Saccharomyces cerevisiae S288C: one gene and its partner. The main gene of each other region encodes a partner of the protein of the gene in region 2 in a complex. Each region holds a gene or a part of one and is shown on either strand. Other genes may lie near its edges. The genes, in order: ORC2 and ORC3.

Region 1 (4,677 bases), on a different chromosome or scaffold from region 2:
CTTCACCTCGTCTCTTAAAACATCTGCTTTCGAATTTGCGAGTAATAGAACTTTCGAATTGTGACAGAACCATTGAGAACATGGTGAATCTGTCAATATTACAACCCAAAAGCCGGTTGGTGGTAAACCGTAGTACGGAGCATTACAAAGGATTCCATCGTATAAATTATGCATAAGCATCACCTTGATCCATTTGCCTTGCTCCTATTGCCCTGCTTGTTTGTAGGAAAGCCCCTTTTGGTCAAACGAATTGTTCAGTTCGGGTTTACGCATTACATATCTCCTTTTTAGATACAAAAACCTCGAAACGCTCACATAAACCCGGTTGTTCTTTTGAGTACCTGGCCAATGGAGACATAGCTTGGGGTTAAGTAAAAGTGAAAGTCAGGTTGATACATGTGCCTTTTATTCCACCGAAGAAAGCTTATCCAACATAAGAGCATTATTTAATGGGCTTTCCAATTTATTATTGGCATACACTTCTTTCAAAAATTCGCCGGTCTCAACGGCAGCAAGTGCTCAGCAGATGGAAATTATACGTTAATACTTTTTCCAATGTGATATAACGAAAAATTAGATACTGTGAATTGTGTTTGCCACCTTGATGTTGACTTAGTATTTCCTCTCGGTTGTAAAAGCCAAGAAGGTTTGACTGTTCGTCAATTAAGGTTCTTACGTGGGTTGTGCTAGATACGACGCGAATCAGTATGGTTTCTATCTGCCAATCATATCGGTTCTCTTCCATGGGCTAGAACAGATGAATTCTAGCTCTTTTTTAGCTGGACCAGTAAGGTTCAAATGGTATTTGATAATAGAGAATCACATATCTCCTTGTCCATTTCTGAAAGTATTAATTCAGTCATATCCAACTAGTCACAAACATCCGCATAGGCTTGATAAAACTCACAAGTGGCAGATTCCGAATTATGTGTCATATTGGGGTCATATTAGGACCTTCATTTCAGAATTGCTTCTGCTCCAATAAACTTTTTTTGATCCAAAAATCGTCTGATATAACGGGCGATGTCAATTGAATAATAAAACGGGTTCTATCTATTTTCTTGATCTTTGAAACCAAAACAGTTAGCAGGCAAGTGCAAACAAGTTGTCAATTGCACTCTGTTAACGAAAAAAATATATCTCATCTCCGCCGGTCTTCTTTGGTGGATATATATTACTCCTCCTTAAAGGTCATGCTCCTTTTTATGGGTTCTCGTCGTAATAATCCTGAAATTGTAAAATAATTTAGAGCTCAACACCACCATTGAGAACGTAGAATTTCAATTTTTAAGCTGATTCTCTTTCTGCATGAACTCTCCTAGCAATGTGAAACTTCTCTTAAGGGAAATTTTCGCCTTTTTGAATGGGCATACTTGGCCAAAAATTCAGGATTGAATATATATAATCGGAACTTGTATGGATAAAAATTTATATCAAGAGTCTGTTTCTTAATTGGATTTGCTGTGATCTAGTATTGAGATGACTATAAACCGGCCAGGAAATTAGTCTTTTCGAAGCTGGTTTTGGTTTCGCAAGAGTCTTTTTGACAGCTTTTTGGCCTCAATTTGTATTCCCTTAATACGCTTCTTCAACTCTGTCTTAGAGACCATTTCTCCAGTGGCCTCATCTAGGTGTAAACTAGCAATAGCGTCACTAGCTGCCGTGACATTAACTTGCTGTGGCACCTTTATATGTAATATGAACCATCTTTCAATGGATCATAAGAATAAGTGTCGTAAAAGGCCAAATATCCATGCATAAATATCGACTTATTCGCGTAAATGTGATATGGATCAGCTAGTACCAATTTCTAGTCTAGCAAAATCGGGAAAATTTTTCAGAACACCCACTCACCGCATCATTGAGGTGGAAATGACAATAGTAAGCAGAATTGTTATTCTTCACAATGTGTAAAAGTTATAAAGAAATAGGAACCACCTTTAAATTAAGACAAAGTAGAATATATTAGCTGAAATTGTATTTGATAATTGATCATTGATCTTATTTGCTATATCTTTAAAACAAGTTTTTGTAGTACTGCGAATTGCCATAACATGCTAAATGGGGAAGACTTTGTAGAGCATAATGATATCCTATCGTCTCCGGCAAAAAGCAGGAATGTAACCCCAAAAAGGGTTGACCCACATGGAGAAAGACAACTGAGAAGAATTCATTCATCAAAGAAGAATTTGTTGGAAAGAATCTCGCTTGTAGGCAACGAAAGGAAAAATACATCTCCAGATCCGGCACTCAAACCTAAAACGCCAAGTAAAGCTCCCCGTAAACGTGGAAGACCAAGAAAGATACAGGAAGAATTAACTGATAGGATCAAGAAGGATGAGAAAGATACAATTTCCTCTAAGAAAAAGAGGAAATTGGACAAAGATACATCAGGTAATGTCAATGAGGAAAGCAAGACTTCTAACAACAAGCAGGTGATGGAAAAGACGGGGATAAAAGAGAAAAGAGAACGCGAAAAAATACAGGTAGCGACCACAACATATGAAGATAATGTGACTCCACAAACTGATGATAATTTTGTATCAAATTCACCCGAGCCACCAGAACCTGCAACACCATCTAAGAAGTCTTTAACCACTAATCATGATTTTACTTCGCCCCTAAAGCAAATTATAATGAATAATTTAAAAGAATATAAAGACTCAACCTCCCCAGGTAAATTAACCTTGAGTAGAAATTTTACTCCAACCCCTGTACCGAAAAATAAAAAGCTCTACCAAACTTCGGAAACCAAGTCAGCAAGCTCGTTTTTGGATACTTTTGAAGGATATTTCGACCAAAGAAAAATTGTCAGAACTAATGCGAAGTCAAGGCACACCATGTCAATGGCACCTGACGTTACCAGAGAAGAGTTTTCCCTAGTATCAAACTTTTTCAACGAAAATTTTCAAAAACGTCCCAGGCAAAAGTTATTTGAAATTCAGAAAAAAATGTTTCCCCAGTATTGGTTTGAATTGACTCAAGGATTCTCCTTATTATTTTATGGTGTAGGTTCGAAACGTAATTTTTTGGAAGAGTTTGCCATTGACTACTTGTCTCCGAAAATCGCGTACTCGCAACTGGCTTATGAGAATGAATTACAACAAAACAAACCTGTAAATTCCATCCCATGCCTTATTTTAAATGGTTACAACCCTAGCTGTAACTATCGTGACGTCTTCAAAGAGATTACCGATCTTTTGGTCCCCGCTGAGTTGACAAGAAGCGAAACTAAGTACTGGGGCAATCATGTGATTTTGCAGATCCAAAAGATGATTGATTTCTACAAAAATCAACCTTTAGATATCAAATTAATACTTGTAGTGCATAATCTGGATGGTCCTAGCATAAGGAAAAACACTTTTCAGACGATGCTAAGCTTCCTCTCCGTCATCAGACAAATCGCCATAGTCGCCTCTACAGACCACATTTACGCTCCGCTCCTCTGGGACAACATGAAGGCCCAAAACTACAACTTTGTCTTTCATGATATTTCGAATTTTGAACCGTCGACAGTCGAGTCTACGTTCCAAGATGTGATGAAGATGGGTAAAAGCGATACCAGCAGTGGTGCTGAAGGTGCGAAATACGTCTTACAATCACTTACTGTGAACTCCAAGAAGATGTATAAGTTGCTTATTGAAACACAAATGCAGAATATGGGGAATCTATCCGCTAACACAGGTCCTAAGCGTGGTACTCAAAGAACTGGAGTAGAACTTAAACTTTTCAACCATCTCTGTGCCGCTGATTTTATTGCTTCTAATGAGATAGCTCTAAGGTCGATGCTTAGAGAATTCATAGAACATAAAATGGCCAACATAACTAAGAACAATTCTGGAATGGAAATTATTTGGGTACCCTACACGTATGCGGAACTTGAAAAACTTCTGAAAACCGTTTTAAATACTCTATAAATGTATACATATCACGAACAATTGTAATAGTACTAGGCTTGCTAGCTTTGCTTTCCCATAACCAACAATACTTAGTGATGTATCTTAAAACGACTAAAAAACTTCTCATATAACCCTACTGAAAAACGTCTGATGAGCTCTTCGAAAATTCAGACGAGTTATGACCTATATTTGTTTTTCATTTTTTTTAGGTGAACCCCGCCATTCTGAAAATGCCCTATTCAGAGCTCAATAACCGAAAAAACTTAAAAATACTGAATAAAAGCCATAATCCTATGAACCCCCTTTCTTGAATGAGTAAATTCAATAGCATTGTTGAATCAGAATCGGTGCCTCGGGAGCATAAGCAACACAGGACATCATAGAGATAATTTTAGTTGCCATTCATTTTTTGCTATTACGTTTTCCCAAGCTCTTGTTTTCGTCCCTGTCGCCTGTTATTTTCTTTCTAATTAGCACTGATCATGTCGATCACGAATGGTACTTCTAGAAGCGTTTCGGCAATGGGCCATCCGGCGGTAGAGAGGTACACTCCAGGCCATATTGTCTGCGTAGGCACACATAAAGTTGAAGTGGTAAATTATTTAGCAGAAGGTGGCTTTGCTCAAATTTACGTGGTGAAATTCCTAGAGTATCTTAATGAATTTGATAATACAGCAAGTGTTCCCTTAAAGATTGGCGATGTCGCATGTCTGAAAAGAGTATTAGTTCAAGATGAGAATGGATTGAACGAGATGAGAAATGAAGTGGAGGTAATGAA
Region 2 (4,203 bases):
AGTACTCATCGCGTAAAGGATTGATGCCTTCTTGAATAAGAATATTGACATAGTTTTTGAAAATTTGTAAAAAACTTCTGGATAGTTTGAAATGAACCAAAAAAGCTTCAATCTGGCGGTATAAATCTTCGATTACCTCAACGGATATATCATTCAAATCATATCGTAAACCATTCTTAGGAAGATCGGTAACGTCTTCATACTCCAGATTTGTCGAATCAACCGGTGGAGAAGGAAGATGGAACGGCGGGTCTTCGAAAAAGCCTTCAGTTTTATTTAATTCTATAGGCTTTAAAGCGTTAACAATATACCTTTCTGCGCCTCCATGAATTAGTGATTCGGTGGAATCCGTTATTTGCCCTTGCTTGATGAGTACATCAGTGGGAATATTAGTTGGAGATGTCTCGGGTACGAATTTATCACGCAGAAGATTCTCCGTTGATTTATTTGTCGTGCCGAATTTGCCCATAACCTAGCACATATAGGCAATAGATTGTGATTAATAGGCCACCTTTATTTTTTTGTTGCTGCCTTCTTGAGTTTCCCATTGCCAATCTTCGCGCATCATGGCACTATCTATTTATTTTACCTATACATAATATTACCCTCCATTCGATAATAATAATAATAATAGTTAACACAGAAAAATGATGAGATACAGGTAGACTGTTCATTACAAAAACGTGGTTCTATGGTTCTATATATGTATGGTTATTTATTTACTTATTTATCCGTGCATTCTTTATCTAAATTCCTCTCCAGACACATTTTTCTACCAGATCGTAACTCTTGGTGCTTTGAAACTTAATGAGACCCATGTTTTCAAAGGCGAAGATTGCTTGCATGAATAAAATTAGTGCTACTTTGTCAAATGCGTCCGGTGTTTCTGCTAGTTCTAAGAGTTTGGTGTTGGAGGGATCTTTTCTTATGAAATTTAATATTTCCTCTTTTGGTAATGTTTCTCTGAACGCAATGTAGAAATCGTAAATGTTGATAGTCATATTCGCCTCACGATAAAGCTTGAATAGCTGACCCAGTACCGGAGCCATTATTTTATCCAAATCTCCAGAAAGAGTATCATAATTTTCTTTATCAAGCGAAGGCAGCACCTGCTCCCAACTTAGTAAGTTATCTTCGATATTTGACTTGTAAGAAGGGAAAATCGACTGGGTAAGTAATCCACTTCTGTTGTCCAAAGTAAATAGCTCTTGAAAAATTGTATCAATGGGTTCAAAATGAAGCCGATCCTTATACTCTTTACATGCTGACCAACGATCTAGATAGGAGTCTAGTTTGCCAATAAGCAAATTATGATATAATTCTATCAGATTAAAATTGGTTATATTCAATTCTTCTTCGAGGAATCGAGCAACAAACTTAGCATGCCCGTTAATCGGGTTCTCTCTTACCAAAAACTCAACAAAAAACTCTTCTAGGCCTCTGTTTTTGTTTGTCAATAATGAAAGAATTTCGTCAGCAGGAGCATGCTGCTTTATAAGACCTTCGACAAAGAACATGAATGTAGGACATCTGCTCAGTATTTTTAAGTAGTCGTCGTTCAAAAAATCAACATTTACAGGGTCAATGAATACTGAAAAGGCATTCTGGAAAAAGTACGACATCAACGAATAATCCAGCATCTTCGTCAATAATTGTAAGTTGTGATTAGTATTATTTGCCATCTTGCTGAGAATGAATTCCACAAAACGATCTGAAAGATTTAGTTTGCCATCAACCGTATCCAAAAAGCTTTGAAAGATTTGGTTTCCGTACTTAAATCCTTTATTACTCGACACGTCTAGTTTATGATAATTTCTCTTCAGAAGTCGTATGGTTGATTGTCTCAAATTTTTCTCAATATTTGACAAGTTTGTATTAATATTAAAGATTAAACTTATTTTAACATGGTCATACTTGAAGGCACTTTTCAATAGAATTATGAAGTTATCCAATGTGTTGAAGTTAATAGAATCTACATCTTTAAAATTAAATACCATTGCTAAGTCTTTTCCAAAAAGCCTTTTGAAGTTTTCCACAAGTGACAGATCGTATGATACATCATTGTTTTGCTCGGTAAAATCGCCATCTTCATCGTTAATGTCTTCATACTTGATAGTTGGATGTTCTTCTGCATCAGCTGCGCTGTAAAGTTTGTACATAGACCTACGAAGCATCATTCTTACATTCGGAGATTCTTTCGGAGTCAATTCAATCAAAACGTTGTAGCGAGAAGATTCGTCTTTAAGTTCAATTTTTGTCGTACTATCTGAACCTAATAGGAAAATAGTGTTAAAGCATCGCCTTTTCTGAGTAGTTTCACTATATAAAAGGTCTGAAATCTCTGCTTTCAAGTCTGCTTCAATATTATCGATAATATGATCTACTTGATCATGAAAGTGGGAATGTAACTGATGATACAATTCCCATCTTTTTTCCACGTTCACTTCCGATTCTTTGCCTGATAGAAGTTTGACAAAGGGAATGTGTTTATCATTTTTGTTACTTTGAGGCAAACTGGGGTATACTGTATAGTGGCTCCTTTGGGCGTCAGCAAACTCGCTGACGTTCATCTTTTTGGATTGGTTAAGGTCGCTCATCCTGTTGGACTACTCTTGTGATACTACGACTCTGTATGTAAACAATGCCATCTTTTGTCACTTTTCTTTTTCTTCAAATTACGGTGCGGAAAAATACGTCAGTAAATATCAAAAAGACACTAAAAAAGGCGTTAGTGGTAATGGAAGGTAAAAAAAATTCTTACCATCTAACAGAATGCTTAGTTCCATTATCATCACGTGTAGCGTTTCTGCTGGTCTTACTAAATATAAAGATAATAAAACAGCAGGTAATGAAACATTACTCTTGTGAAATTGTCAAGCCTGTCTCGTAACGCAACCAACGACAACCCTTCATCTCCAGTATAGTTTCAAGTTTCTGGAAAAGATTGTCTTTTCCACCTTTTTTTATTTTTTTTTCCTATTAAAAAAAAAGCTATTCTACAAAAAATTCTTTATGACACAAATTATAGCGTGTTTAAAAATTAAACAAATGTGCAAAGTATATTCACAGTAGACAAACTTCAGGAACTCTTTTTCAAAAACAAGAAAAAGACTTACCAAGAAGATGAATGCTACTAAAGAACTGACTTTTAATTTACTGAATAAATTTCAAGACAAAGAAAGATTTGGATCTGCGCAAAGACATGCTGGAATCTCACTAAAAGGGTTCATATCTGGTATATTGTTTTCTTTTTTGTACTTTTTATTTCAGCTGTCACTCTTTATTATTTTAAGATCAAGATTCAAGACTATATATCAGGCCAATGTCGTTCTGAAAATCCATCCAGGTTCTAAAGTTTGTTTTGCTAAGAAAAAAATAAAAAATTATTGGTCATTATTTGCATTTCTCAAGCAACTTCCCGGAAGAATGTTAGATCCTATGGAAAAATTCGAACGAAACGAAAGGTATGGCCTAGACAATTATCTATTTTTACGGTTTCTCAAACTTTTGATATTCTTTTTTGCAGTGTTATCAATTATCAACATTCCAATACTAATTCCAATCCATTATTTTTCCAGGGATATTTTGAAAGAAAATGAAGGTGAACGTTATGAGCAAAGTTTCAGGACGACAAGTAAACTTGACAAGTGGACCATGTCAAATCTATCACCTAATTCATCGAATACTTTAATCTGTCACTTGTTTTTGAGTATCTTTGTTGTACTCTGGTTTCACTTCATTCTTTCTTCGGAACTGAGGTTCGTTAATCGACTAGGATATTCCGTTTTGACGAAAAGTAAATACCAAAACATTCTATATTTGGAAGGATTCTCAAGTAAATTGGTTACCCAAAGTATTTCTTTAGAAACTTTTTTTCAGCCGCTACACAGTGATTGCTTTGGCGTGACGCATTTCATTCCAAAAAATTTGAAGAAAGTCCACAAATTAGAAATAAAGTTAAATAAATTACAAAAATCAAAAGAACAAATTATCTTTGAGATTATTTTAGAGAAATATTTTAGAAGAGTTTCAATACACAGGCATTTGATAGCAAATCACAAAAGATTTTTCTTTTCAAAGTTGAAAAACCATCTATTATTTCAGTACAAAAAATTGGTATTTTTAACTCAATTTAGAATTTCATACTATTGCACAAAAATTCGTCTGCGCTGGAAAAAGTCAAGCATCTTTCCGTTATATTAC

The links.
Region 1: ORC3 (region 2) and ORC2 share a complex: the UniProt entries of both Saccharomyces cerevisiae proteins name them as parts of the origin recognition complex.

The regions. Positions count from the first base shown.
Region 1 is NC_001134.8:359,892-364,568, reverse strand, and holds ORC2 (origin recognition complex subunit 2), read left to right. Parts: upstream 1-2,054; coding exon 2,055-3,917; downstream 3,918-4,677. Other genes in the region: serine/threonine protein kinase AKL1, read left to right, coding at 4,382-4,677. UniProt on the Saccharomyces cerevisiae protein: Component of the origin recognition complex (ORC) that binds origins of replication. It has a role in both chromosomal replication and mating type transcriptional silencing. Binds to the ARS consensus sequence (ACS) of origins of replication.
Region 2 is NC_001144.5:139,467-143,669, reverse strand, and holds ORC3 (origin recognition complex subunit 3), read right to left. Parts: upstream 2,598-4,203; coding exon 747-2,597; downstream 1-746. Other genes in the region: SFI1 (Sfi1p), read right to left, coding at 1-469; SPO75 (Spo75p), read left to right, coding at 3,124-4,203. UniProt on the Saccharomyces cerevisiae protein: Component of the origin recognition complex (ORC) that binds origins of replication. It has a role in both chromosomal replication and mating type transcriptional silencing. Binds to the ARS consensus sequence (ACS) of origins of replication.